5 linked regions of the Danio rerio genome follow. The protein of the gene in region 5 purifies or fractionates together with the protein of the main gene of each other region. This does not show direct contact. Links are inferred from orthologs where the notes say so. Each region holds a gene or a part of one and is shown on either strand. Other genes may lie near its edges. The genes, in order: bcl7a, ss18, bicra, bcl7ba and smarcd1.

Evidence for each region.
Region 1: the proteins of smarcd1 (region 5) and bcl7a purify together in Homo sapiens (affinity purification with mass spectrometry; 5 studies listed by BioGRID and IntAct, counting the BioPlex papers as one, with this or other methods). This does not show direct contact. The link is inferred for Danio rerio from reciprocal best matches to the Homo sapiens genes SMARCD1 and BCL7A.
Region 2: the proteins of smarcd1 (region 5) and ss18 purify together in Homo sapiens (affinity purification with mass spectrometry; 5 studies listed by BioGRID and IntAct, counting the BioPlex papers as one, with this or other methods). This does not show direct contact. The link is inferred for Danio rerio from reciprocal best matches to the Homo sapiens genes SMARCD1 and SS18.
Region 3: the proteins of smarcd1 (region 5) and bicra purify together in Homo sapiens (affinity purification with mass spectrometry; 5 studies listed by BioGRID and IntAct, counting the BioPlex papers as one, with this or other methods). This does not show direct contact. The link is inferred for Danio rerio from reciprocal best matches to the Homo sapiens genes SMARCD1 and BICRA.
Region 4: the proteins of smarcd1 (region 5) and bcl7ba purify together in Homo sapiens (affinity purification with mass spectrometry; 4 studies listed by BioGRID and IntAct, counting the BioPlex papers as one, with this or other methods). This does not show direct contact. The link is inferred for Danio rerio from reciprocal best matches to the Homo sapiens genes SMARCD1 and BCL7B.

The regions. Positions count from the first base shown.
Region 1 is NC_133180.1:42,612,370-42,618,541, forward strand, and holds the start of bcl7a (B-cell CLL/lymphoma 7 protein family member A), read left to right. Parts: upstream 1-2,714; 5' UTR 2,715-2,779; coding exon 2,780-2,871; exon of another isoform or gene 2,872-3,710; coding exon of another isoform or gene 3,711-3,712; intron 3,713-3,791; coding exon 3,792-3,873; intron 3,874-4,269; coding exon 4,270-4,366; intron 4,367-4,751; coding exon 4,752-4,907; coding exon of another isoform or gene 4,908-4,925; intron 4,926-5,015; coding exon 5,016-5,113; intron 5,114-6,172. Other genes in the region: cfap251 (cilia- and flagella-associated protein 251), read left to right, coding at 2,196-2,317.
Region 2 is NC_133177.1:1,523,037-1,528,611, reverse strand, and holds the end of ss18 (protein SSXT), read left to right. Parts: intron 1-658; coding exon 659-781; intron 782-2,874; coding exon 2,875-3,005; intron 3,006-3,361; coding exon 3,362-3,388; 3' UTR 3,389-4,258; downstream 4,259-5,575. UniProt on the Homo sapiens protein: Appears to function synergistically with RBM14 as a transcriptional coactivator. Isoform 1 and isoform 2 function in nuclear receptor coactivation. Isoform 1 and isoform 2 function in general transcriptional coactivation.
Region 3 is NC_133193.1:47,592,702-47,598,318, forward strand, and holds part of bicra (BRD4-interacting chromatin-remodeling complex-associated protein), read left to right. Parts: coding exon 1-40; intron 41-538; coding exon 539-584; intron 585-1,071; coding exon 1,072-1,137; intron 1,138-1,368; coding exon 1,369-3,390; intron 3,391-3,537; coding exon 3,538-3,723; intron 3,724-5,617. UniProt on the Homo sapiens protein: Component of SWI/SNF chromatin remodeling subcomplex GBAF that carries out key enzymatic activities, changing chromatin structure by altering DNA-histone contacts within a nucleosome in an ATP-dependent manner.
Region 4 is NC_133185.1:38,244,822-38,250,900, reverse strand, and holds the start of bcl7ba (B-cell CLL/lymphoma 7 protein family member B-A), read left to right. Parts: upstream 1-2,279; 5' UTR 2,280-2,297; coding exon 2,298-2,389; intron 2,390-5,409; coding exon 5,410-5,485; intron 5,486-5,667; coding exon 5,668-5,770; intron 5,771-5,904; coding exon 5,905-6,078; intron 6,079-6,079. UniProt on the Homo sapiens protein: Positive regulator of apoptosis. Plays a role in the Wnt signaling pathway, negatively regulating the expression of Wnt signaling components CTNNB1 and HMGA1.
Region 5 is NC_133197.1:7,413,279-7,419,343, forward strand, and holds the start of smarcd1 (SWI/SNF-related matrix-associated actin-dependent regulator of chromatin subfamily D member 1), read right to left. Parts: upstream 3,718-6,065; 5' UTR 3,691-3,717; coding exon 3,514-3,690; intron 1-3,513. UniProt on the Homo sapiens protein: Involved in transcriptional activation and repression of select genes by chromatin remodeling (alteration of DNA-nucleosome topology).

The sequences.
Region 1 (6,172 bases), on a different chromosome or scaffold from region 5:
TTTTAACCCCAAACTGATGAGCAAACACATTCAGACTTTCAGTTACATCACCAATGTTACAGAATAACAAAGTTGTAATAATCATTGTGACACAGTGTTATAAATTAGTACTATAAAATAATATTTGTTCTATTGCAACATAAAGGCACTGTAAGGAATTTTTCTGATCCTGAAACCAAAGAAAATCGTTCTGCTATTTCACAGTTGTTTGAATTTCTTCTCAGTGATCAATGGCTCTGTGTTGCAGCTGATCTGAATACTTGTGAAAATACCACATTTAATAATGTTTTTAATCCTAACTCACCTCAGAACCTCAATTTTTTAAAAATAAATTGTTCTTTAAAATTCCATAGTCGAGTGTTTATTAGTTATGCAAATAAATCCTCGGTTCTCTTTGATTTCTAGTGTATCTTTTTTCTGTTGTATTTGTGCACAAGAGCAGCTTCTAGCCCTTTGTCAGAGATATACAGATCACAGAGTCATGTTTCCCTGACAAGATGTGCATGAGAATTGCAGCTTTTGCTTAATTAATCATAATCTAGTTTTCATTTCAGATAATCTCACAGCCCTATTTATTATCATGGCAGTATGGAGCAAGTAAAATAGTTCACACTGCCCGATTTTAGCCCTGATTTTCGTTCAATAACAGGTCTTGTATAATTGCTGACAAATGCCTGAAATCGGTTTTCATGAGCGACATCACAAAGCACAATTTACTAAAAACGCAATCTGAGAGTATCGCCGACGAGACACTGATGGCTGTAAAATATTTGGCATACTAAATATCTGGACTGGTGATTCAAAGTCATGCTGTGTAGAAGAGTTCTGACTAAAAAACAATTAACTGATGACCAACAACTTTTATAATGCCACAGTCTACCACTTTCGTTTCTTTCATTCATGATCATGTGGGAACAGGGCCGGCGCGTCCATAGAGGTGACCTAGGCGGCCGCCGAGGGCGGCAGTATAGAGAGGGCGGCGTCCACGACACCTCCCTTACCACCCGCATCCTCAGTTATGTCCGCGACACCTCCATCAGCACCCGCGTGTCCTCAGTTATATCCGCGCATAGGACAGCAGAATTGAGGTCCGCGACACCTGCGCATCCTCATTTATATCAGCGAATAGGGCGGCAGAATAAAGAGCTCAGTGTCTGCGACACCTCCCTCAGCACCCGCAGGTCCTCAGTTATATCTGCGCATAGTGTGCCACATAAGAGGTCCGCGACACCTCACTTCATTTTCATAACCGGTCACTTTCGTTTTCTCATTGGGGTTGAGGGCGGCGTGATTGTCCTCTGCCTAGAGCGGCAGTTCAGCTTGCTCCGGCCCTGTGTGGGAAGCACCAACATGTTTTATCATGCTAAATGCATTTTAAGGTTCTGTTATAATGCTGCTTTGTGAGCTCTAACAAAACACAAAACATGTTAAACATCTTTGGTGTTTCCCACTACATGTTTTCTATAAAACCAAACCAAGGGTGGTCAAGGGTATTTGACATAATTAGCATGGGAACACAGGACATGGTCCTTGTCACTAAAACTGCTTATTTCTTTGGACTTAAACATTTTTGAAAGCATTACCAGAAAATAATAAAAAATATATAACACTATGAAAAGGCGACACGGTGGCTCAGTGGTTAGCACTTTCACCTCACAGCAAGAAGGTCACTGGTTTGAGTGCCAACTGGGTCAGTCGGCATTTCTGTCTGAAGTTTGCATGGTCTCCCCGTGTGGGCGTGGGTTTCCCCCACAGTCCAAAGACATGCGCTATAGGTGAATTGGGTAAGCTTAATTGTCTTTTGTGTGAGTGTTTCTGAGTTTGTATGGGTGTTTCCCAGTACTGGGTTGCAGCTAGAAGGGATCCGCTGTGTTAAAAATATGCTGGATAAGTTGATGGTTCATTCCGCTGTGGCGACCTCAGATTAATAAAGTGACAAAGCTGAAGAAAATTGAATAAATTAATAAATGAACATGTTCATTTACACGTTCATCTTACATGTTTTGCCTTTACATTGTTGGTTATGTTTTGGGTTAAATCATAGGCAAGTGAATGTGCAAATTAGCGTCTTTGCTAATAATGCACTCACATATATAACCTCTGCAATGTTAAAGACTATTTGGCTAAAATACATTATGATTTTCAAAATGTAGCAATCTTTTGATCTCAACAAACGTTACTCTTTCTCCTTTCAGGGTCTCTGTTGGAAAGTGTGCTTCCAGCTGAAATCACCATGGACGCATTTGCCTCAGATATATTGGGCTTTTCTGTCGCCACCCAGGAGCTCCATCAAGAACACCACGGACAGGAGTCATAATATATTTACATTTCCCTGCTTATGTTCATGCGTTGTCAATAAGTAATGTATTTTAAAACAGATGGACTGTTATTGTGTGGTTAGCGAGCTGTTGTGTTATATGTTTGCGTTCAATTCTTTCGCATAGAGATAAAATCATACGAAAATAAAACATGTCGTTTGTCAACATGCTGTCGATTGAAGTCTCCATTTTTTCCAGATACATTTATAAAACGTGTGTTGATGTCGTGGTGCTGGTTTCGATTCGCTCGTCTAGCTCAGCAATCTGATAAAATATCGTTTTCTTTGCTCTGTTCGCCAACAAAGGAGCGAAACGCGTACCCGCATTGACCGTGTCTCTCATGCTTCGAGGGCATTTGGCTTCAGCGCAGGCGCACAAACCCCGCCTCTCTCCTGTGCTGTGTGCATTCGCATTGTGTCTAAACAGGCAGCGAGCAAAAAGATATTTTACCAACAGCAGTAATGTCGGGCAGGTCGGTTCGAGCGGAGACGCGGAGCAGGGCGAAAGATGACATCAAGCGGGTTATGGCTGCAATTGAAAAAGTGCGGAAATGGTAAGAGAGAGCGTCTATCCGTTAACGAACAGCACAGACAGCCTGTGGGGGAGGAGAGACACCGAGAAACAATGAAATGAAAGCGAAGAGAGCGTTTATTCCACTCCAATTTCACTCAGATGTACTGTTTCTGCGATTCTGCGCGCGGCTGCTCCTTTGTCGGCTGTGTGAAAACATAGTTTGGGAAAATGTAGATCGCGTTTTTTCTTCCATTAAATTTTTATGTGGGTTGAACCTAGAAGCCATTTCGTTGCAGTCACATGAAGGCTTTGCTGTTAGAGCCTGTAATGCCGGCTGAATAGTAACCGAACGGGCTGACATGAGGAAACTAGAGTGAACCGTCCGTACCGAACAGAAAGTGCCGGTGAACGGGCGTTTGACTCGTTCATCTCGTGTTGAAAGTGAGAGAGTCGCGCTTTGAGCGGCGGCGCGTGAGGAGAGTTTGATCCACGCGCGGGGTTTTAAACTCAGCCCTGAGCCGCAGTTTCACATACACTTTTTTACACTTCAAGCAACTGCTGGGGATTTCGTTTAAACTTAAGTTTAAGTTGAATTAAGGGTTTTCAAACCATGACAAATTATTTGTTGGACTAACAATAATTACCAAAACAATATTTATTCTATAAAAGTATACATGTTAAATGAGAAACAATCGTGTTTTTGTGGCAACGTGCGATTAAAATTGTACACATCTGTGAGCTAGTGAACTGCATTATTATTAGTATTTATTTTTATGATAATAATTATTTACTATTGATATCGATAATTTGTTCAGTTGCATATTCTGCAAATGCATCTTGCCTAAATAATGGCTCATCTGAGATTTCTTATGCCTCTAAATGTAAGTGATTTAGTGGTTTGTCCTCATTTGTCTGGCGTTTCCTTTGTCTTTGATATCTAACAATAACATGCATCTCCAGGGAGAAGAAATGGGTGACTGTTGGTGACACGTCACTGCGAATCTACAAGTGGGTACCAGTGACGGAGCCCAAGTCAGATGATGTAAGTGACATTTATTTACAATAACGCACAGCTGTTGCAGTTTTGATAACCTAATAATTATTGTAACATTATGGACCACAACCAACAAATTCATTTGAAAGTTGGAACAAAATAGTCAAGGTAAAATATGACGCAAATGACTTTTTAATGAGTAATTCTATAGTTATTATTTTTTTAATTTAGTAAAGGTAAATTAGTAGTGGTATTCGTTGAGGGGGAAACATATTTCAGTTGTAGCATAACACAGACCAGTATTATTGTTTTTAACAGAGATTAAATTCATATTTATTTTAAATAAAATAAGTTAACTAAAATGAGTCGTATTTAAAACAGACACAACATATTTTACTATCTTCTTCATATGCCTTGATTGCAATATGTATTTATGTCACACAGAAGAACAAAAATAAGAAGAAAGGCAAAGATGACAAGTATGGCTCTGAGGTCACGACCCCTGAGAACAGCTCCTCTCCTGGAATGATGGATATGCATGGTAAAACTGTACACCTAAACACATCTCAATGTTTTACCTTTTTCAAATTAGTATTACATGCAGTAGTCTTTAAACCAATTTATGTGAGAATTTCAAATTGTGTTCTTTGTGATCCTCAAACAGTTGGTCTAATATGCATGACTAAGATTTTGAAGTGTTACCTGCTTTTTATTAGAAAAAAATCATTATTATAATTATTAATGATGGCAGCTTTGAATGTGCATTTTTTCCTCTTAACCAATAGAGGGAGTTGATGAAACAGTTTTACTCTGTGAACTGGTTATTTGCTATGCTATTCCGACCTGTAACCACCTATTAACAGTTACAAATGCATGGACATTTTCAGATATTAAAACTTTTTTTGTTTCTATTTTTTTACCCACAGATGACAACAGTAACCAGAGCTCGATTGCGGACTCTTCCCCATTGAAGCAGGAAACCAGCAACAACACTAGTCCAGCACCTGAGCCCATGGCCGCTTCTCAGAATGACAGCAGTGACTTGAAAAACGACCAGTATCCTTCCAAACAGCCTTCATCTGGTCAGGATCATAAGAGTGGTTTGTGCATTGAATCCTCTAGAGGCTTACTATCCACTTGTCTGTGTTTTTGGTTTGTTTGTTTTAATGAAACCTTGTCATTATTTTCAGAACAAAACCACTGCTCATCGGAGTCTATGACAAGCAAAAGGGACAGCAAGTCACAGGGGGATTCAGAAAGCTTTTTAGACTCTTCCAAATCGGCCCAGGTACATACATACAGCATCACTTGCATATTTATTCATAAATCAACAGTTTTAAAATAAGATTTAAAATAGTTTTTAAAATACATCCATATTGCTCAATGAGGTGTTTAATCCTAAATACAGCAAAACAGCTATATTGTGGATTAATGTTACATTTCATGATTCATATTTTATTTCATAGAACAAAGTAAAGTTGTTCCTAAACCTTTTATCCTAAAGCTAGAGATGTGCTGTTGTGAACCGAGGCTTCGAAGCATGTATCAAAAAATAATACATCTCGCAGTAAAGCAGTGTACCGGAGTTAAATTTGTTTTGCCATAATCACATGATCAGTGACGTACGAAGCTTTATTTTTACCCATACCCACATGACTGCTTTAAATTTTGATTTAAAGGTTTAAACATCCTTGCAGGTTAGGAAAGTGTATAGCGAGAGATGAGGTGTCGATTACTTTAATTTCTACTGCTTCAAAGCACTGCACCAGTGCCCCGCACAGACTAAAGTATAATAGTAATTTATAGTAAAAAACTTTTTAACCATACTAAAGTGTATTATTTTTTTTTTAGAAGGCCACTGCATATTGTAGTATAGTTTGTAACGGAGGCCAGCTGGCAAGTGCATAGCAAAAGCCTCACTTCCATAGCCTCCTCCTTAGAGCATTTGCCTCCCGTGCAAGAATCACCGGTTTAATCCAATGACCGTAAAAAATATGGACGACGCGACAGCCCCTTTTCCCATTGAACGCCTTGAGGGCAAAACGCCTGCTTGACGGGCACAAACTGTCGCAAAAGACTGCTGAAATTGGAGCCTTGACATGCGCAGAAGGAGTGCCTGATGGAGCCAGAGGAGGAGCTGCGAAAATGAGTGGAGTCGAGCTTCCAACCAAACGCTTTATGTAAAATCAACCACGCCCCCGAACTTCTCAGCATGCGTTTGCTGTCATATCAACACAAATGGATGTAATAACGTTAACAAATATGAGGGTTTTATATATTCAATCGCGCCAGCTCCGGGCCGCAGCACATAACCTACTCGCGGCGTCGCGGGCTGATTCCGGCTCGC
Region 2 (5,575 bases), on a different chromosome or scaffold from region 5:
AGCGCCGTCTGCTGTTAAAAACTAGCTGAGAGCGCCATCTGCTGTTAAAAACTAGCCTTGAGCGCCGTCTGCTATTAAAAGCTAGCCTAGAGCACCATCTGCTGTTTTAAAACTAGCCCAGAATGCTGTTAAAAACTAGCTTTGAGCGCCGTCTGCTGTTAAAAACTAGCCGAGAGCACCATCTGCTGTTTCAAAACTAGTATAGAGCGCTGTCTGCTGTTAAAACCTAGCCTAGAGCGCTATCAGCTGTTTGAAAACTAGCCTAGAATGCTGTTAAAAACTAGCTTTGAGCGCCGTCTGCTGTTAAAAACTAGCCTAGAGTGACATCTGCTGTTTAAAAACTAGTCTAGAGCGCTGTCTGCTGTTTAAAAACTAGTCTAGAGCGCTATCTGCTGTTTAAAAAGTAGTCTAGAGCGCCATCTAATGTTTGAAAACGAGCCCAGAATGCTGTTAAAAGCTAGCCTAGCCATTTACTGTTTATAAACTAAGCTCTGAATTGATTCAAGAGTGAAAAGTGGTGCATTTTGAAAATCTCAGAAATGATTTCTTAAGCAAATTTGCCACAGCTCCATATTCCTCTATTTCCACCAGCAATAGCTGCTTCGCTCGGCCCCGTAACTAGTGTAGTTTGCTGAAGTGTGTGGTAATCTTCCTGTAGGAAACACACAGTATGGTCAGCAGCAGGAGGCATATCAGCAGGGCCCGCCTCAGCAGCAGGGTTACCCACCGCAGCAGCAGTACAGCGGGCAGCAGGGATACCCGGGACAGCAGCAGGGCTACGGTACGAACACACCGACGGATCCAGCACTGTGTCCATTCACGCAGATGCTTCATACAAACATACTCCTGCTATTCAAAGTGTAGTTTAGATGAAGAGATGACATGATCAGAATAAAGTAGATCAGGGATGGGCAACAGCGGTCACTGTCCTGTAAAGTAAAAGGATAGTTCACTCAAAAAGTACAGTTCTGTCATTTCCTCATCCTTTACTTGTTTCAAACCTTTGCATTTCTTTCTTTGATCACAAAAGAACATATTTAGAAAATAAAATAAAACCTGTAACTATTGACTTCCATAATATTTGTGATTCCTACTGTGGAAGTCAATGGGCTTCAGCTTTTTTTAAATTAACTTCTCTTGTGCTCAACAACACAACATCTGGAACCACTCGAGGGTGAGTAAACAGTGAGTAAATGCTCAATTTTGGGTGAACTATCACTTTAACTCCAACCCTAATCAAACAAAGCTGCCTTTAGCTTTTAAGTCACTAGCTGTGTTTCAAATGACTCACTTGTTTCCTTATATGCTGATCCCTATACAGTGTTTTACAGTTAAATGGACAATATCAAAAATTTATTTTGGCTTTATGAATTGTTGGAGTGGCCTAGTCCAAGTCCTGACCTGAATCTAATTGAGACGCTATCAAATGACTTGCTTGTTCTCTTATTTGCAAATCCTTTCACGGTTTATTACAGTTAAAATGACAATATCAAAAATTCATAATTGGCTTTATGAATTGTTGGAGTGGCCTTGTCAAAGTCCTGACCTGAATCTAATTGAGATGCTGTCAAATGACTCGCTTGTTCCCTTATTTGCTGATCCCTATACAGTGTTTGACAGTTAAAAGGACAATAATAAAAATTCATAATTGGCTTTATGAATTGTTGGAGTGGCCTAGTCAAAGTCCTGACCTGAATCTAATTGAGATGCTGTCAAATGACTCACTTGTTCCCTTATTTGTTAATTCCTAAAGAGTGTTTGACAGTTAAAAGGACAATATCAAAAATTCATAATTGGCTTTATGAATTGTTGGAGTGGCCTAGTCAAAGTCCTGACCTGAATCTAATTAAGATGCTGTCAAATGACTCATGTTCCCTTATTTGCTGATCCCTATACAGTGTTTGACAGTTAAAAGGACAATATAAAACATTCATAATTGCGTTTATGAATTGTTGGAGAGGCCTAGTCCAAGTCCTGTGCAGAAATCTAATCGAGACGCTGTCAAATGACTCATGTGTTACCTTATTTGCTAATCCCAAAGCAGTTTTTGACAGTTAAATGGACAATATGAGGAAAGAGAGTGAAAATCAGTGAGCGAGTTTAGATAGAGCCGGAGAGCAGACTATTTCATCATGCCATCCATAAAAAATGCACTTTTGCATTATGAATTGTCATTTATTGAATTATTTGATGACAAACAGCATGCTCGTTACTTTATTTTAATCTTCTTTTTACATTTAAATTACTTTTGATTTGTTTATAAAAATGTACGTAAATACATGTGCCAAATATAAATAGATTAAAATGAAGAAAAAGTGCCAACACAAGCTTAAGAACATGCATTATGAAATTTTCCATCTTCTGTCTGTGTTTTTTTTTTTTTTTTTTTTTTTTGTCTTTTGCTTTTTCGGCCCTCCAGTAGATCAGCTTTGCAATTATAAACACTGTGAAGGGAATTTTATTGGCTTAAAACCTCTTCATGTTTCCACTTGATTGCACTGGATAGCAAGTACATCTGCACTTAAAGTGAGTTCACGCAAAAAATGAAGATTCTGTCATTAGTTACTCTCACTTGTTCAGAATCTTTTCTTTGTTTTGTTGAACACGAAAGAAGATATTTTGAAGAATGCTGAAAACCCGTAACTATTGACTTCCATAGTATCTGCTTTTCCAACTCTAAAGGTTACTGGTTTTCCGCTTCCATCGTAATATTTTCTTTTGTGCTCAATAGAAGAAAATCGTAGAAGTTTGAAACAACTTGGTGAGTAAATTTTTGCGTGAACTACCCCTTTAAGTTGTACTTTTGTACTTGTATGTGAAGAGGCAGAGGCGAATATGATCAAGCATGCAATCAAACGCTCTGCTTTCCTACAGGTCCATCACAAGGCGCTCCAAGTCAGTACCCAAACTACCCGCAGAGTCAAGGGCAGCAGTATTCAGCCTACAGAGCCCCGCAACCCGGACCACCACAGGGACAACCACAGCGCCCGTATGCTTTTGACCAGGTGAGACACTCAAACAACAGTACTCCTGAAGAGATCTATAGAAATCTGGCTTCATAAAAATGTAAATTGTGGCTTCCCATGATGTATGAAAGTGCTTGAATGTGAATTAACGCACTTAATAACAAACATATCTCCTTAAAAGTGCTTGAATTAACGTTTATAGTGTATATTCAGCAATTGAGTGTTGTGTGGAACTAACCAAACACTGTTTGCAGTGTATTAAGGTCATAAAAACATACATTTTTGGGTGAGATATCCCTTTAAGTAACATTAATGTAGTGTTTACGTGATTTAAAAGAGTAATTCTGGCTGTGAGCTCTCTCATACTTAAAAGTGCTCTGTGTTTTTCTCCACAGGGTCAGTATGGAAACTACCAGCAGTAAACGATGAGGATTTTGACGATCTGCCCCAGTGTGTTTCCCAGTCGGAGCTGTGTGTGATCTGATGAAGAGCATCTTAGCGCTCTCTCAGAGTCTCTAAACATCACCATCACGAAGAGATGAACCTGTCCCGCTAACGTAGACTGAACTCTTCATTCGGCCACAAGCATTTTGACCACAACCAACAACCATTGGCTCGATTCTCAGCACAGGTCATGTAAATGTGAAACACCCACACAAACTCGCTTAAAAAAAATAAATAAATAATGAAAGGATAAGTTTTGACACTTCAAACTATTTCGTTTTTTGAGAAGCAATTTCATAGCAGCGATGCCTTAAGTGAAACAGCTGCCTTATCTACAGCAACAAAGAAATCCGTGAAAATACATAAACACACACACACACACAGCGATGTTTATAAGCTACGAAACGTGTTTTGTTTTTCTAATGAGATTCATTGTGTTGTTGTTGTTGTTGTTTTTGTGTTTTTCGACTCTCCTGCTGAAGTCAGAGAAGCAATAACGCTGAGGTGCGAATGAAGGCCAGCGGAGGGGTGGGAAATGTTTCTTTTTATTTTCAATTTCAGGTGCAAAACTATGCTATGATGTATAAATGTATTTTATGCTTTATCAAATAGAGCTCAGATTGAGTCCAAGTGTTGAACAGTAGCTCAAAGTGTCGTCCCGTGTGCTTATCGACCGTGTACAAATTTATTTTCCCTTTTTTTATTTTTTGAAGGTGGGACGTTCCGTTTGAATTGACATGTATGTCTTGCTGAAATTCGATTAAACAGGTCTGGTACTGTCGTGGTTTGAATTTCAGTCGTGTTTGAATTGTGTTGCAGTCAAACGAAGTAAAAACACAAAAACATTTTAACGAGTGTTTGTCACAATGTTTCAGATCATCAAACTCATTTAAATATTAGTCAAAGATAACGCAAGTACTCAAATGATTTCATTTTTTAAATTCGTTTTTATTATTAAGGGGGAATAAATTAGATTATTTATCACATATAATTATATAATTACATAGCCGTGTGTGAAAAAGTGTTTGCCCCCTAATCCTAATAAGTGTTCGGGCCACCCTCAGCAGCAACAACTGTAATCAAACTCCTTCGATAACTTGCAGTGAGTCTTTTACTGTGCTGTGGAGGAAATTTGCCACACTTCTTTGCAGAATTGTTGCAATTCAACCACATTCAAGAGTTTTCAAGCATGAATCGCCTTTTTAAGTCATGACAAACAATCACAATTGGATTCAGGTCAGGGCTTTGACTAGGCCACTCCAAAGTGTTCCCCTCTAAACACAATATATTTTATTTTAGGAAACATTTATAATATTTTGGAACCGTAAAATGTCAGGCTAAATAGTAAATTAAAAAAACAACTTACACCGTAGTAAAGGTATAACTGAAGTTTTACAAACTACGGTAAACCTTGAAACCGGTTATCATCTCATGCCTAGTCATTCTGCAGATATTCGGTTGTTCTTCTTCAGGATATTTTGGTTCACCGTTCATGGTTCTGTTTATCATAGCAAGTCTTCCAGGCCCTGAAGTATCAAAACAGCCCCAGACCATCACACTAACACAAATATTAAAAGTCAAGAATTTTGCCAATTGATGTAATTCAGCCACATTGGAGGGTTTTCCAGCATGAACCACCTTTTTAAGGTCATGCCAAAGAATCTCAATTGGATTCAGGTCAGGAATTTGACTAGGCCACTCCAGCGTCTTCATTTTGTTTTTAGCCATTTAGAAGTGGACTAACAGGCGTGCTTTGGATCATTGTCCTGCTTAGGCATGGGCTGGTGTATGTTTCTGACGGTATGATAACCTTGTATAAAAATACCATAGTTTCACGGTACTGTTATTACTGCTTTTAAAAAAAAGTTTTTTTAATGTCTGGGTAAAAATAATAAAAACTTTTCCCCATTGGACACAATAGATTTTATTTTAGGAAAAATTAATATAAAATATTTTGAAACAGTAAAATGTCAGGCTAAATTGTTAAATCATTGACCTCTGCTCTCTCCATTAGTTTCAATAATTTCTTTACAACACAAAAAATACATTAAAACCCGCCCTTAGGACAGTATAACTGAACATTTATGCAGTTTTAAAACCTTGACTTTTCTGAACCACGTTAAACCTTAAAACCGGTTGTGTTCCCATGCCTAGTCATTCAGCAG
Region 3 (5,617 bases), on a different chromosome or scaffold from region 5:
TGGATGATGAAGATGGCAGGTGCTTGCTAGATGTAATTTGGTAAGTTCAATATGTTACCTCAAAAATGTCAAATAACTGTTTATCTACTTGTTAAGTGTGACATCGCGCAAAGCGGCTTCCAGGTCCAAGTGCTATATCAAACTGTTTGGGGAGACTTATCAAATGATAATAATAAATGTTTACTAAGCAATGTAATACTTTCGAAAATCATGACCGCAATATATATGTCCATGGCTAATCCGATGGCCAGAAAGTGATACATTTTTTTATAAATTGTTAAAATTTTGGTGTCTGTGATGCAGCAATCCCAGAGACTGATGTATACACTATGATTTTATATAAAATTCACTTTAATATGAGATAGGACTAAAAAGTGGCTATAAGCTAATATTTTCTCAATTCAAATGAGTAGCGGCTTGGACCTGGAAACAATATTGCAAACATCATCGATACGTCATGACTTAACAAGAGGATAACGTGTCATTAGCTTGTTTTGTTGCATTGTAGACCAAGCTAAATAACAACTTTCTTGTACAGTGACCCACAAGCACTCAACGATTTTCTTCATGGATCAGAAACACAAGTGAGTACTTCCAGTGGTGGGCACACTTTTATAATGTAACCCAGATACATCACAGAAAAACACAACACCCTCATCCACCAAGAGTTCCCTGATCCTTCTAATTCTTTCCGGGTTATTTTTACATTTCTTCCCCTAAAAGGGTTGTCAAGCTTATTGATCTTTTCTTTAGAACATAATTGCTCCTCTTAATTTCTATTTCAATCCTGATTTTTTCCCTCTTTGGTTAATTCACGTATATGACATACTAATCTAATTTTCCTGTCTTTTGACTCCTGTTTTCTTTCCTGTTTGCTTGGCTTTTTAACTTGGTTGTGCCTGCATTTTGTTCTGGTTGATTGGTGCACTGTCCTCACTTTTCTCTTCCCTTGCCTTTTCCTCTTTGTCTGCCTATTTGCCCCTTGTGCGTCTTCTCCCTGTCGCTTTCACACGCCTGTCTGTGTGCTGTGGTGATTTCTGCCTGTCCTATCCTGGGTATATCTGTCTGTAGCTGGACACTGATGACCTATTGGATGGCTCAGGTGACCCGTCCAGCTCGTTCTTCTCCAGCACTGGGGTGAGTAAAATCCCCCATTTGCGCCAACCTCCTGGCTCCATCCTTTTTTTCGTAGCATGTGCTCCTCAACCCCACCATCCAAATCAGATGCATTGTGCACCAGATCTGCAACTACAGCAGTCAGTCCCAAAGGAGTGCCACCATCCCAAATCCATCCTTAGCATGTTATTTCATATGATTCTGAAAATGTGACTGGGTCTAGTTTTTAAAAAGTCTGTCTGTGTTTTCCAGGGCCATGTTCCTGAGGTTCCGGCACAGGTTCAGCTGTCGACAAGTGAGCCGGGCCTTCCAAGAGTCAGCGTTGATTTGGACTTCTTGGAGGACGATGACATATTGGGGGGATCGCCAGGAGGAGACAATGGAAGTAATGGTGTTGGGACAAATCATGAGCCCTGTGACATTTTGCAGCAGAGCTTGGCGGAGGCTAACATCACAGAGCAGAGCCTTCAAGAGGCAGATGCTGAGCTTGACCTCAGTTCCTTTGGGCTAACTGGCCTTACGCAGGTGGTTCAACCCCTGCCTGATGCCGGCCTGTCTGGGGTGGGCATTGGAGGTGCAACTCAGATTTTTCCAAACCAAGGCACCCCTACCGCACCCTCAAATCCCACTCCAGACATGCTTGGTTCTGTCCTGGCACATCCAGGTCTGCAGCTTCAACAACAGGTCATGAACAAGGCTATCAGCGTCCAGCCTTTTGTACAACAAGTCGGACTTGGAAATGTAACACTTCAGCCAATTTCGAGCCTTCAGGCCCTACCGAACGGCAGCCAGTCTGGACCGTTGGGCATTGGACAAATTCAAGTGGTGGGTCAGCCCACTGTAATGACTATAAATCCATCTGGGCAGCAAATCTTGACGAAAACCATGGGTGGCTACCAACTGCATCAACCTGGGCCGGAGGCAGCAAGCGCTGGAACGCAGGCTGGGCTTGGAAGCTCTGTTTTGAGTTCAGGAGGTGGACTTGTAATTCAAGGGGGCAAGGCCACTCTCGGGTCCCCTGCCTTAAATGGGCCAGCTGTCTGCTTAGGCAGCACAAATACCAACAACAGTGCAACTACAATGGCCACTGCTGGTGGTATAGTGGGTTTTAGTAATGCCTCTTTGGGTGCAGGAATTGGATCTCAGACCCAGCCTCAAGGCCAAATCATGCAGAATGTCATCATCCAGCGAACGCCAACGCCAATACAGCCCAAACCTCCTCAAGGGGGTACAATCCAACCCAAAATCTTCAAGCAACAACAACAACAGCTTCCTGCCCCACATGCCTTGCCAAATGATGCTAATAAAGCTCTGGGGGTACAGCAAATCCCAGTGTCAGCTGGTCAGAATGTAACGTTCCTCACCGGGAAGCCTGGCTCTAACGTAGTTTTGAGCACACAGGCAGCGTCGCAGGGAACACAGTTTTCTCAAGCGCTCTTTAAACAGCAGGGCCCTCAAACTTCAGGCAAACCCCTCAGTGTTCACTTGTTAAACCAACAGGGCAGCATTGTCATTCCCTCGCAAACTGTCCTGCAGGGCCAAAACCACCAGTTCCTCTTACCAGGGCTTCAAGCAGGAGGCCAGATCCTGGCTCAGCATCCTGGTGGACACATCATAACCAGTCAGGGGCCTGGAGGGCAGATAATCGCTAATCAGATCTTGACAGCCAATCAGAACATCAACTTGGGACAGGTGTTGGCTTCACAGGGCCACCCTGGTGCAGCCCACATTCTCTCTGGACACATCCAGCTCCAGCCTGGTCAGATGGGTCAGCCTGCACTGTTCCAAATGCCGGTGTCTTTGGCGCATACTCAGACACAATCTCATCCGGTAACCGGGCATGTACAAACGGTCATTCAGGGCATGCCTATACAGAATTCCCTGTCTGTGGAGAGCCTTAGCCCAGCAGTCAGTTTACAGACGTTGCAGCAGTCTGGCGGCGTCCCTAATAATGGTAGCAGTGGATCGACGGCAATGGCGCCATGCCAGCCAGGAGAGGGTATCACTGTATTGGGCGGCTCTTCTGACTCTGCTGCTCAACCAGCACAGACGCAACCTCAGCCCTCAATTCTCACGGTTCAGACGACGCCTCCAGTTTCAGTAGCAGCTTCGGTTCCTTCCTCTTCATCTCCATCCCCAACGATGGCCACGTCTGCATCCACAATGGTGGGTCTGTGTTCACAGGCCCAGCACAGCCCTGGAAAAGTGTTGTTCACGTCACCTGGTTCCGGCATGATCCTGAGCCAGGAGCCTCTTCAAATGTTCCTGCACCAGGTCAGTGTGCTCTCTTTAAACTTTATCTGCTGTTTGCAAACTGTGTGCTAACATAACAACATTTAGAGCCCCAAGCTGACCTCTGGACCAGTTTGAATGATTGTTTTACCTCTCCCATTCCTGAACTGATAAATGTACCTATGTTAGGAGCAACAGCATCACGCAGGAAAAGACCCACCTGCCGCTGTGGGTGTACCTGCATCTGTTATCGTCAGCGGCAGCAGTTCTGGTCCCGTCCCTTCAGGCCATGACAACTTGTTAGCTGAGACTCGGCAGAGGCAGAGTCCCAGTCCCTCCCTTGGTCCTGCCCACATGGCAACAGTGGTTAACAAGGTAGATGAGCTCATGCTCTGTGCTAAGCCCCACCCACTTGTTGCTGCCACTGCTGCGTATTGGACCACTGTCTCCCAGCAGAATTCCCTCTTTTTCTGTCCTCTTGTCCTTCTACTGTCATTGCTCAGGCTACTGCTCTTTCACTTGTTTCCACTTCTTGTTTTTGCCTGTATTTAATCCGTTTTTTCATTCTGCATCTGTCACGATGACTATTATCTGTTTCTGTCATTGATAATGTAATGAGAGATTCATTATTTTCATCCATTAGTTTCATTGCCTATTGCACGATATTCTTTCCCCTAATAAGACATGTCCTGTTGTTTGTTTGCATGATTATTTCTGAGCCGAAAGCTTGCAAAACTACATTGACACTAATTAAAAAAAGGGTTGATGCAAATAACAGTGCCATTGTTACTCTTCGAATGGTGTCACATGCAATAATAGTACTCTATTTTTTGGTTGTGTGTGTGTTTGCATCATCTTCTCACAGGCATGTCATGATGGATTCCTAACAGTTTATCTGCTGTAAATCATTGCCACTCACTTTATCCATTAAGATTAACATTCTCAGTACTCATTCCTTCTGCTGCCCTCACGTTCAGTAACTGCTGTTTTTAACCCCAATCAGCCCCCACAACCACCACCCCCAAGAGAAATTAAATTAATTCCCTTCAAGATCACTTTCAAAGATTTGATCTTGATCACTTTCTCGCTGCCCTGAATTGCCTTCTGATCCTACCAGCAAATCTGTTTTGGTTTGTAGACTGTTCTTTAGAATATTCCTTGTCTGTATGTGAACCAATTTTTTATTTTTTTGTTCTCTGCAAAAATGTTGTCCTTGAGTGAGTTGTCTACCCTCCCAGTATTAAGCTCAAGTATTGCATTTAAAGAGCATCTATCTTTTAGATGTTTATATAAGTTTGTACATTTTGTACTTCAACTTTTGAAGTCTTTACGAAAACTTCCTTTTTGATGTTTTGAAACAAGATTTTTCCTTTTCTATTTCTTCTTGCTTGTATATTATCCTACTCTTATTTGTTTATTGTAGCTTGTTGCTGTGTGGTGTTTTGTTTTTGCACTGTAGATATGAGAAATTGCTCATTGTTTTAGTGATGCACTTAAAAAAACAATCAGAACAATCAAAAACGATAGTGAAACTGAATTGTAGAACAGTTATGGATAGGAAGTCTTTGTAATGATAGTGTAACCTGTGAAAAGGATGATCCTTGACTCCACCACTCTGCACAATTTAAGCCTTTCTTATTTAACTTATCCTGGACTTGTACCATAAATCTGGGTTAGCTAGCTAGCTAAGTTAGCTTTAATTTGCTTCTATTTTGGTTTTCAGGTAAATTGAAGCTGTTTGACATTAATCACTCTTTGTTGCCATGGTATTATTGAGCAGCTGAGCTTCTTTCATGGTACAAACTAGGATTGTCACGATGCTGAATTTGATACCAATCGGTACTGAAATAAAAAAAATAAACTCCATTTCCTGCTAACATTTGAGCGCTGTTGAGCATGTTCTTAAACAGCACTGATTTGCCATTGTGTTCACGTGCTCAACAAAAATGACTGTGATTGGCCGTGAAGGTCATCAGTTCACCGAACTCACCGCTGTACACTGAGTGTAACCATAGATACAGGGACACTGGAGCGTTTCAAAGTCATGTCGATTAATTGGTTTGTCTATAAGCGGACATACGAGCAGTCTGCTTAATCGGCTTTAAAACGCTCCAGTGTCCTTTTTTGTGGTTACACTCCGTAAACAGCGGTGAGTTCGGCAAACCGAGGACCTTCACAGCCAATCACAGTCATTTCTGTTGAGTATGTAAACACAATAGTAAATCAGTGCTGTTTAAGAATGTGCTCACATCGCTTAAATGTTCGCGGG
Region 4 (6,079 bases), on a different chromosome or scaffold from region 5:
TTGTTTTTTCGCACTTCACTCTCACGTTTGTCAGTTTCTGAAAGGATCGGATGTCAGATGCACTTCAATAATCATGTGCACGTTGTTATCAGCTTAAGAAGTGCATTATTTCAAATATAGACGTGTGAGGAGTGCACACAAGAAAGCGAAACCCCTCGTGCTTTAAACGGCCTTGTAAACAACTACAGGGAAGGGTAGATTCTGCTCTTCTTGGCTTTGTGGCTGTTCATCAAGATGACAAGGTTTGTTTATGCTAGGGTTGACCATTGGTCGTTAATATATGTATATATTATTACTATGTAATGGCTGTGAATCTAAAAATGGCGCATCCATTGTTTTGATTCTCCTGGCTTGTGCATGTGCTAGTGATGTATTTCTGTAAACCAATAGCGTTCAGCTGTGCGTCTTGCTTCACCTTTTGGTACCCTTTTGAAAATGGTATCAAAAAAGTGGCCATAAAAGCGCAGCGAACTGTACCACTCAGTGGAAACAGGCCATAATGCAGTGTTTCCCAACCCTGTTCCTGAAAACACACCAACAGTACACATTTTCAACCTCTCCCTAATCAAACACACCAGAATCAACTCAGCAGAACAATAGAAGGGACTCCAAAACCTGAAATAAATGGATCAGATAAGGGAGACCTTAAAATATATATACTAGTGTGCCTCCAGGGTTGAGAAACACTGATCTAATGTCATCTATTTGTGTTTTATATATATATATATATATATATATATATATATATATATATATATATATATATATATATATATATATATATATATATATATATAAATGAATTTTCACAATAATATAAACCTAACAGTACATCTTTACAAGATTACACAAAGAAAAATTTCAAAACCGGACAACGGAGGGAAAAAAGCTCCCATTATATATAAAACAGGACTTCCCCAGATAATTGCAGATAATATACAGTTACATTATTCCCTCAGTATGATAGGGGAAAGACTAGGTCCCTTGTTTTACAGGTGAAATAATTTAAAGTCTGCAAGAAATCAGAATTTGCAATGTTTATTTTTGCTTATTAGCTCACATTCTTGGTCTTAAAGGGACATTCGTTTATTCATTTTCTTTTCGGCTTAGTCCCTTTATTAATCTGGGGTCGCCACAGCGGAATGAATCGTCAACTTATCCAGCATATGTTTTATGCAGCGGATGCCCTTTCAGCTGCAACCCATCACTGGGAAACACCCACACACTTCCATTCACACACATACTCTGTCAAAATTGTGTCATTTTCTCACCCTTTACTCGTTTCAAACCTTTATGAACTGGTTTCTTCTGTTAAACACAAAAAATATTTCCAAATACGGGTAACCATTGATGTCTGTAGTTTTTGTTTTTCCGATTATGTAAGTCAATGATTGCAGGGTTTCAGCTTTCTTCAACAGAAGTTACAAACTCATAAATGTTTATATACTAGTGATAAATAGTGAAATTCTCAATTCTCTCACAAGTGGAAGTTTGTCAAAAGTCCAAACTAAGATGTAAATTTACATCTGTAAGGAGGACAAAGACAGAAATGTGAGATGAAAAACTTTATTCTGTGACAGAAATAAGCTTCCACATAATATACTGCCCTACAAAGAATAAACTTAATAATACTAGTTTGATTTTTGTTGATTTGTCAAAGAAAGCATAGGTAAGAAATTTGTCAGCAAATGAATAAAAAAAACTTTTACTAGCATTGGAAAGATTTGGGACACCATTTACAAAACTTAGCCTCCTAATTTCTAAGAATTAAATAATATATTTATTTAAATTAATTTAGCAAATGTTTTTAATTTTAATATATTTTGTTGTTTTTTTTTTAGGTTGATTAACATAAATAACACGAGGGCTGTTTGGTTCGTCTTACATATGTTACATTTAACATAATAAAAGCTACAGCGGCCATTTTATTTTATACTTTCTTGTATTACATGTTTGTTTTAATATAGTATTTAAAAAAATAGTCACTAAAGACCTTTATTTTGAAATGAACTATAACTGTGAGGAGTTGTGTAAACGTATTTAGGGTAAACGAATACGATTTTTTACAATACGTATTGAGTAATAAATCTGTGACTTGATAAATATATAGGTATTTGCTCATTTTCTAATAAATAAAAACTCTTAACAGCAGCCACCTGTGTCCTCTGGAAGTAGGTGGGATCTACTTGTCAAGCTGTGGAAAGTGGAGAGAGTCGTGAGTTCTCGCGAGACGAGATTTGCGCCGCTAGACTGCGAGACCGACACGATTCCAGTAAGAGTACCGATAAAATTAAGAAATGTCGGGTCGTTCGGTCCGCGCGGAGACCCGGAGCCGCGCTAAAGATGACATTAAGAAAGTCATGGCTGCCATCGAGAGAGTACGGAGATGGTGAGTACGCCGAGCGCCGTCACGACACTTTGAAAGAGAAAATTGTTTTTCAAAAGAGAAACTTCAGTCGGAAAGGAGGAGGACTTTCATAAGAGGATGCAGTTTGATTGACACAAGATTCAGCCAATGGCAGGCCGCCTGTCTTTGTTTTATGAAAGGACAAGCGGCACAAAAGAGGCGGGACTAAAGGGGACTTTTAAACGGGTTTTTTTTTTCTGCTGAAGAAGTTTAAAGTCTGTTAGAAATATTTAATAGCGTACTTAATTGTCCTTTTTACACAGTTTTATCTAATCATTTACGAATTTACTATTCAAACGGCTAATCCAAGTACATCCCATCAGGATTCAGCCCTGTAAAACCCAAGCACTTTTGTGATTAAGATAAATGGGGATATTGGATAGTGTATAACTCATCAACAAATGGACTGTAATCCCTCATGTCCAGAAAAAAACAGCTTTTAGAGGAAACTTTCTTCAATTGGAAGCTTGAGAAGTGCTATTTTCCTGCATGGTTGTATTTTTAGGGCAAGACAATGCAGGTGAATCAAATAAAGAATAATAGTTATCACCATATTTTTGTAGTTGTTTGTTTACATTTGTATTACAAGGTTTCTAAAAAGTTTTGAAATATGAAGTATGTGCTCGTTTTAGGTTAAACATAGTGTTCATAACTTTATTATTGTCAAATGTTACAAATGTTATTTCAATTAGGATAATACTGTGAACATCTAAAAAGAAAAGAAAGAAATAGTAGAATAAAATGTACACTACATATGTATACTACAAAAAGGTACACGGTGGTACAAATAATGTCCCTTAAGGAACAGTTTTGTACCTTTGTAAAAGTCGTACCTTATATGGAACTGAAAAGACCTCTTGTGATACTGTTCTGTACCTTTTATGATACATCTGAAATTAAGGTATACAATTGTTCTCATAACAAACGTACAAAAGTGTTGGACAACTCCTTTTTTTACAATATCCATGAAAGTAAATATCACTGGAAAGGCAAAGTGATTTCATGAATAATTTCCATATTAAAACATTAATCATCATTTAAAAAACTTGTTTAAAGAAACTCATCAACATTAATTATTAAGTTCTATAAAACAAAACTAAATGTATTGTAAACTAAATATTTAAGGCATTTTTAATAAACACTTATTAGTTTTTTCTGATAAATACAGTTTTATTATTGATATCTGCACCTTTTGGCGTTTGCTTTCCACTACACACATGAGCTGGCAAAAGTCCTGCATATGCAGTGTTCATGCAGACATTTTAGTAATGTAAAACTAATCAAACATTGTGCATATCTCGTTACAATAGTTTTGCATAACTCTATTTCTATTTTAAAAACATGTAAATTAAATGAACTTATAGATGATTACAAAGGTATTGTGTGAAAATTGGAAAAATGTTTAATATTGTACATGAGAGAATGTATTTCTTTAACATTTTTGTGAAAAGTGTTGTGAAATGTTTAGCAAAAAAGTATTAAAGTATTTTTTATTCTTTTATTGTAAACTGAAGAGGTGCGTTAACTCAAAAAGAAACTTAAAAAAACACTGTTTAAAAATGTATTTGATGTTTTATATTTACTAAAAATAAATTGACACGTTTTGGATAAAGCAAAAAGCCTTTAAACAGTTCTTGAAGGAACACATTTGACACTGTTAAAGTGTCTTGTCACTATACCTGTACCTGTGGTACCTTGATGGATCAGATTTGTATCTTTGATGAAGGCACAATATTGTATCTGCAGGTTTTAAAAACTAAAGGTACAATTTGGATTCCCATGGTACAAATCATGTCCTTAAAGTTGAAAACTGCAATGATACTAATTTGTTTCTTTGTCTTAAGGTACATTTCTGTTCGATAAAAAGGTGCTGTTCCAGTGACAAGAGTTTGTACCTTCTTTGGTACAACATTGTACCATTTTTTTTTTTCTGAGAGCGTATCAGGCAAATCATGTGTGAACATATTCCTCTGTAAAATATAGGCCTATACATGGATTAAACTGCAAATTTGGGTGTATACAAATGCTGATGTGGAGATTTTGACTTTAAATTCATGTATTGTTATAGAAATTCAGAGATAAATTGATAAAGTGCGACAAAATAAACACTGTATTTAAGATGTTTTCCTTACATTATAAATAACATTTTAGGGGCACAAATATTCATAAAAGCAAATGTGTAAGTTGTTCAGTTTATTAATGTTAATTTTTCTTTTGTTGTGATTTAATGTTTGAGATAATGTAATCCAGAGGTGTATAAAAGCTACATGCTATGATCAATATTGTCTGATGAACACGCTTTGTGATGGCTTTTTTAAGTAATACATTTATATTTTTTGAGTTTTTGGAGCTTTGGTGTTGCCGCATTTATGAATATTTTTTTAGTTATTTGTTTATTCGGCAGGGACAGTGTACATTAATTAGCATTGCTGCAAATGCACCAGAATTAGCCATAAGGCTGTTTTTCATCCGTTGTCCCGGGACAAATGTTGAAATTGTCACCCTAAAAAAATCCAAAAATTATAAAATCAATCAAGTATAGTCAAGAAGCACTGAAATCGACATAGTTAAGTGGATCTTAATAAAAAAGTATATGTACAAAATAAGCTAAAAACACCAACATTATGCAATAGAGATAAGAGTAGTTAAACACATTTAAACAACACATTAAGATGGCAGGCACAAGTGGTAACATGATAGGTAGGTACAAGCTTATATAAACGATGACACGTCTTTGTTCTATTACTCAGAGTTTGAAATGTTTTTTGAACATATTGTAAGTGGTCATTTCTCTGATGCTCCCAGGGACAGAGCACTTTTTGGACTTTTTTTTTAGTTTTTCTGAGTACCCATTCAGACTGATCTGCGTGCTTTTATGCATTCTTTCAAATAACATTTTAGGAAAAGCTTAAAACCACACAACTAGCAGGTGTATGAATAATGAGTTTATGACTGCGGTCTGATGTATATGGGAAACCTGAACTCCTATTGCTCCATTTCAGGGAGAAGAAATGGGTCACAGTTGGAGATACATCATTAAGAATATTTAAATGGGTCCCCGTGGTGGACACAAAGGAGGTATGACACATTTAAAATGCTTCTTTCTCTTGATTTTAATTGCCATCTGGCTGAATGGGATTTAAATTCAGTCACATTTCACAAAAATACAACATCTCCATCTCATACATATTGATCAGGATCTGTAATTTCCAAACTCCTTCACTGTATTTACTGTTTCCATCACCTGATTTTTTTTTCAGAAGGAAAAGAGCAAAGTGTCTGTGGGTGGAGAAATGCAGCGGAAGAATTTTCCCTCAGAGGAGTCCTCTGATAATGCCTGCTCTGTGCTATTAGATTTTCAAGGTAAACATGTTTTAATAGGACATTAAATCCCAAAACATTAATATTCTGCCAGTGTTTTCTCACCCTAAAAGAGTTTCAAAGCTATATAATTTTCTTTCGTTCATGTAAATTGGATATATTCTCCTGGTTGCCAGATGAAAACAGCAACCAGAGTTCTCTGTCAGACTCATACCAGCATAAAGCAGCCGCAGACAGCAGCAATAACTCCAGTCCACCGGCCAGTGAGCCGGTCAGTCCGGCACCTCAGAGTCTAGACTACAGGACTGATGACCCACAGCCACCCACCCTCGGCCAGGAGATCATGGAAGG
Region 5 (6,065 bases):
AAACTCGCAGACTTTTTTGGTCACATCCATAATGCATGTTTATTTTCCTTATTTAAAGTACAAAACATGTTTACAGAATAATATTTTTCTGATCTCTTAACTCTGTGGTTAGTTGTTTTGGAAAATATAAACAGACATTTCAATATAACGTTAACGTATAATTTCTCTGTGAATTTATGTTTTTAGTTTTTACAGCAAATGTCACATCCATAATGCTGGGATTGCTCATTCATTTTTAAATCCTGGAACAACTCAGATATTTAGTCACAAATCAGCACACAAACAGTTGTGTTCATCACTAAGAAAACAAGTGCTGCTGATCATCTGAATGTTGGTGCAGACGGTCACTGAAACTTAGAAACATCTCATGTCAAGCAACAGTATAGGCATGGGCTGGTATAAGATTCTGACAGTATGATAACCTTGGATAAAAATATCACTGTATCACGGTATTGTGATTACTGCTCTAAAATATGTTCTTCTTAAATGCCTGGGTTAAAAAAAACAAAAAAAAAGTCCCCATTTGAAAACATTATATTTTATTTTTTGAAAGATTTATAATATTTTGAGCATAAACATGTCAGGCTGAATGAATAATCCAAATGAATAATTGACTTCTGCTGTCTTTATTAGTTTCAAAAACACAGATTTCTTTACAATTTAAAAATTCTATGGATTTTTTTTCTGCTGGAGATACTGTCGTCATAAAAAACAAAATACATTTTTTTACAAATACTTTAGGAATGGTGTTAAAAAAACATTTTAGCGGTTTTAAAACCTTGACTTTTCCAAACCGCAGTAAACCTTGAAAACGGTTATCCCATGCCTACAGAATATGATTATTTTCCCAATCTTATTTATTAGCTAATAAAACAATTGAGGTAAAGTTAGTTTTATATTCATATTCTGACTTTCTCAATAATTTCAGAAAAGTATTCTTTGCAAATACTGAATAGTGAAATCCTATTAGCAGCCCATCTCTTTTAAAGTACAAATGTTCAGTTGATTAAGAAGTGCTAATGTTGTTTTGTAGTCATACTTGTATGCAATTTCAGACAGAATATGCATAGCGTGGTAAACAATATGAGGACTGTTAAAATGAACGAATGTGGAAGTATAAAACCAACTCGGGGTTCATTCACAATTTTACGACTAAAATTTCATGACTTTTTCAAAACTAAGGTAAATATTCATGATGTTGTTTCGTGTTTAATGCAATGTCTATATCAGGTGTCAGGAACCTTTTTTCAGCAAAGAGCGATTTCAGATTTTTTTTTAATCAAATGCATTTTTTAAAAAGCCATATGGGTTGTGTGTATGACAAAACCTTTATATATTTATACACAAAACCTTTATTTATGTCCATGCATAACTCAAAAATAAAAACAAATATGGCAAATCACAATATACGAAGAAAGGCCAATGTAAATTTTTCTTTTTTTTGCCATCGCCACCCGAATGTTTGAATTTACGTGCATGAGGTTACCAATGAAATGTAAGTTACCATAGAAATGTAACAAATATAACTTGCCTTTTATTGTTGTCGCGATTCAAGTAAAACCACAGCACCACGTATGCTATGCACATTGGTTGAAACGTCCTTTTATTGCTAACAGTTCTTATTCATTTTGATGTAGAAAATACAATATAAGGAAAATTGTAATTGTATTTTCAATAGAAAACTGATTTCTAGTAATTAAAATTTTTGAAATATTACTGAAAAGAGATAGCTGGATAGCCACATATTTTTGTTTACAGAGCCACATGTGGCTCCCGAGCTATAGATTCCCTACCCCTGGTCTATATACATGTGGTAAATAAGTAAAAAAAATGCACCTTCCAATTTGCAGCATATCAAAAAAATGTGACAATTCATGTAGTTTATATTCATATCTGTAAAATAGTTTTTAGAAATTATCTTACTGTCTGCATGAAAATTCAATAATGTTGGCATGTGTTTTCACAAGACTTTAAATTAGTACAAATTAGCCTTTAGCACCCACAATATTTTACCTTTGGAGTTAAATATTTCTTGACACGAAACTCAAAATGCATCTTGAATTACGGTAAAAGCGAGGTGAAGCTATAACTGCTTTTTGGGGTAAAGTTGGTTTTATATTCACACATTAATTCAGCAACAACTTGTGACATGCTCCCTATATTGGTTACCATAGCACTTTGAATATTAAGTCTGAAATGCCATATGTGTCTGCTTGAAAACAACATTAGCAATATTTATTTGAACGTGAACAATTTTGTACTTTGATAGTCTTTGGCTGCAAACATGATTTCACTATTTAGAATTTACAAAGAACATTTTTTGTAAAATAATATTATAGAGGACAAAGTCTAAAGGTTTAAACATAACCAACTTTACCCCAATAAACTGCTTTTGATTTTTGAAGTTATTTATTATAGTTTTTTTTTTTTTTACCCATTTCATTTTTTTTAAGTCTTCCCATGAAATATAGTGTCAAGTACCAGTCAAGTTAATCTCAAATATACTCAAGTACACGTAATTGTTGAGCAAATTTTCATGATTTTTCCAAAACATTCTGGGTTTATGTGTTTTTCCAAAACTTTTCCAGGCCCGGAGAAGGCCTTTTTGAAATTTCATGACTTTTCCAGGACTGTATGAACCCTGCTAACTATACCTCAATACGAAAACATACGTTTGTTAGTCTAACGTTAATAAACAGGACAGAGGTAAAGTTGGTTTTATTCGCACATTCAGACTTCCCCTTTAATAATATCATTTCATAAAAGTATTATTTGCAAATTCTAAATTGCAAAAACATATTAGCAGCCAATGACTATCAATCATTGTTCACAGTCAATTAAGTGTTAATGTTGTTTTCAAGTCACACATGTAACGTTATGCTAATTCCGATCGAATATTCAGAGTCACATGGTAAACAATACAGATACTTCTAAATGAACCACTGTGCGAATATAAAACCAACTTTACCTCTATGTAAACTAGGGAAATTAAATGTTTATACTTTTTACATTTAAACCATATTCTTAAATCATTAAGTAGCAAACTATATGCAAAGCAGATGTAATTTAGGCAAAGACTTGCTCTCATGTAATGCACAGAATACATCAAATTAGCATATAAACACTGGTCATCAAAGCAACCAAAGCCATCATCATGATGCTCCTGTAGGCCGCGCGGTTACACACAGAGCTTCCGCAGAAACTCTGTTTACACCATCAAAACCAACTGCAGGTTAATATTCCTCAAGTCATTCTCAAGTGAAACACAAACAAATAATCTAATTTCTGGTTTACTGAAATAAAGTTTGACGCTTAGCATTGAACCAAACGGTAAGCAACGCAACCACAGTCGAGCATAATAATAGAGTATATTCTCAATTTAACACTATAGAAACCATTTTAAACGGATTCAATGTTGACGCTTTAAATAAACGAGCAAATTCTGCGTTCAGACTTTAAAACTAAAGCCCTCGGTTTATGCGCGGCTGCTTCTTTGTTCTCCTCGCGCCTTACCGGGTAACCGGGCATCGGTGATCGGTACATGTGGTTCTGCGGGCCGCCTGGTCCCATCCTTCCTGAGGGTGTACCGGGACCCATACCGGGTCCTGCTCCGGCTACCGGCGGCCCGGGTCCCATCGGGGCTCCGCCGCCACCGGGTGTCGAAGGCTGAAAACCACTCCGCGCCGCCATCTTCTTCTCCGCGAGCCGCAAACAGACAGAGAACCACCGGTGAGACTTGAAACTAGTATCGCGAGAATTGAAGAGCACAGGCGTTCAGAGCTGAGGTAGAGTCTCGCGAGGTGTGAAGAGACGTCGCGCTTGCGCTGACGATGAGAAGGGTAATCCTGCACAACTGGAGTGGCTGCACTCTCAGGACCGCATTTTTAGGACCGCATCTTTAGGACCCTAGTTTTTTGTGACAGCGTTACCTGTCGGATTGGATCATGGATGCGCTAATGGACGACACGGATGACAAGGAAAGTGTAAGTACCGATTTTTCTATTAAGTTTTATTTTAAACTGTTAAAGTATGTGTTTATTTTGTAATGCTGCTGTTTTATACTGTGAGTTTATGCAGAAATGCCAGATTAGCCTGCATGATTTACCCCACTTTTAAGGGTCTGGGACAAAAATGTTACGTGACGATTTTTTTTCCAGAAGAAGAATAAAATATTATAATAATAAATATGGATAATTTTACACAGCCAGAGTGAGAGCTGCTATAACTGTTAATAATTTTCTAGAGTTCGTTTTCTAGTTTGATTATACGTCGTTCGTAACTCGTGACCATGGTTTAATGAAACATTGTTGATTTAATGGCTTGTTGACTTAACGGCTAATGTGCTTAGTGACATGCATTAAACTAAGATGGTAAAAGCACGTTTGATGTAAGAGTTTTAGATTTATCTATATTTTACTGAATTCGTGTTATTCGTTGTATTACATTAGCACATTAAAAATTGTGCTGACTGCCTGTTTGCCCCACAATACTGTATGTGTTATTAGCCTGATGTTTTGTCATCGTTTTACAGTGATGAATGAGATTCTGAAAGTTAGGCTTATTCTGCAGGTCTTAACCATATAGAGTCTCATATCTTTAATTTATATCAGGTATGTTTTACCTGGCGAAAAAGAAGTGATGGCCAATATGATTGGATTGCTTAGGCTCATTGTAGGAGGAAAAGAAAACAAACTACAGGAATATTTTCATTGAGGTTATCTCAAACTGTTGAGTAACACTTTATAACATCTGCATACTATAAATAAATAATTATTAAGCATTTAATAACTAGTTAATTTATTAATATTTTATTTGTTTAGCATTAACTCTACATTTAATAGACATTGATAAGCAGTTTATAAATACAGTTACAAATGCTAGCTGTGTTCTTGAGTTTATAGCATATCTATGATGAAGTGCAGATTATCTGTGGTGTTCATTTTCCAGAGGAATGTCTGGCCAAATAAGTATATAAACTGCATGCTGGGTGCTACTCATTTATGAATCCATGTAAAATGATTTGCTGTTCTGTGGTGGTATTTTAGTTCATATTTAATGATTTTTTTTTCAAAGGCCATCGTACATCCTCTGGGTGTCTTGAGGAGCTGGTCTTTGGATGATGCTGAGCAGGTCTTTCTTTCTGGTAAAGATTATCATTACAGGTCAGAATATGGTTAATTTTGCACAATGCTCAAAGAGCCTTTTTGTTACTGGTATATATGTTAACTCAACAGTGGATTTGCTTTTTTTAGTGTTTGGACTTTCAGCAGTGAATACTAAACCACACTGAACTGAACTGAATTTAATAAATGTTAAGCTGCTTTGACACAATCTACATTGTAAAAGTGCTTTAGAAATAAAGATAAAATTAATTGAAATTGAATTGAATATTCAACACATTTCCATTTTTCTCAGAAAACATATTTATAAAGGTGCTGTTGACTTGAAATTTTCACCAGATGTTGATAACAATTTGTAAAGTAATTAGATTTGTTTTCTATTCATATATATTTTTTCTTTGGTTTTCAGGTCAATAGCACCTTTAGAAATATGTTTTCTGAGAAAAATGGGAACTTGTTGAATACTTATTTACCCCAGTGTGTATGTATATATATATGTATGTATGTGTGTGTGTGTGTGTGTGTGTGTGTGTGTGTGTGTGTGTATTTATATGTATGTATTTATGTATGTATATATGTATGTATATGTGTGTATATATATATATACTTGAACTTTCTTCTTCACTCTCATTCACAGGAGCTAAAGTCTACAGCCAGTCTGAATGCAGCAACTGAATAAACAGTGGAGTCATTTTTGTGGTTGAATTGCATTAATAAAAATAAAAGTGTGGATATTTATATAAATGTACATTCTTGAATCTTCCTTGCGTCTTGTCTCTCTAAAACCTTTACAACCTGGTTTTAAATTAGTAACTGCAAATGCTGATCCCATTTGATTTCAATTTATTTTCCTTAATACTGAGCTAATTAGTTCAATGTAATGGGGTTCATCAAAATACAGTATTTTTCAAGGAATTTAAGACTTTTAAGGCACTCAACTCTATT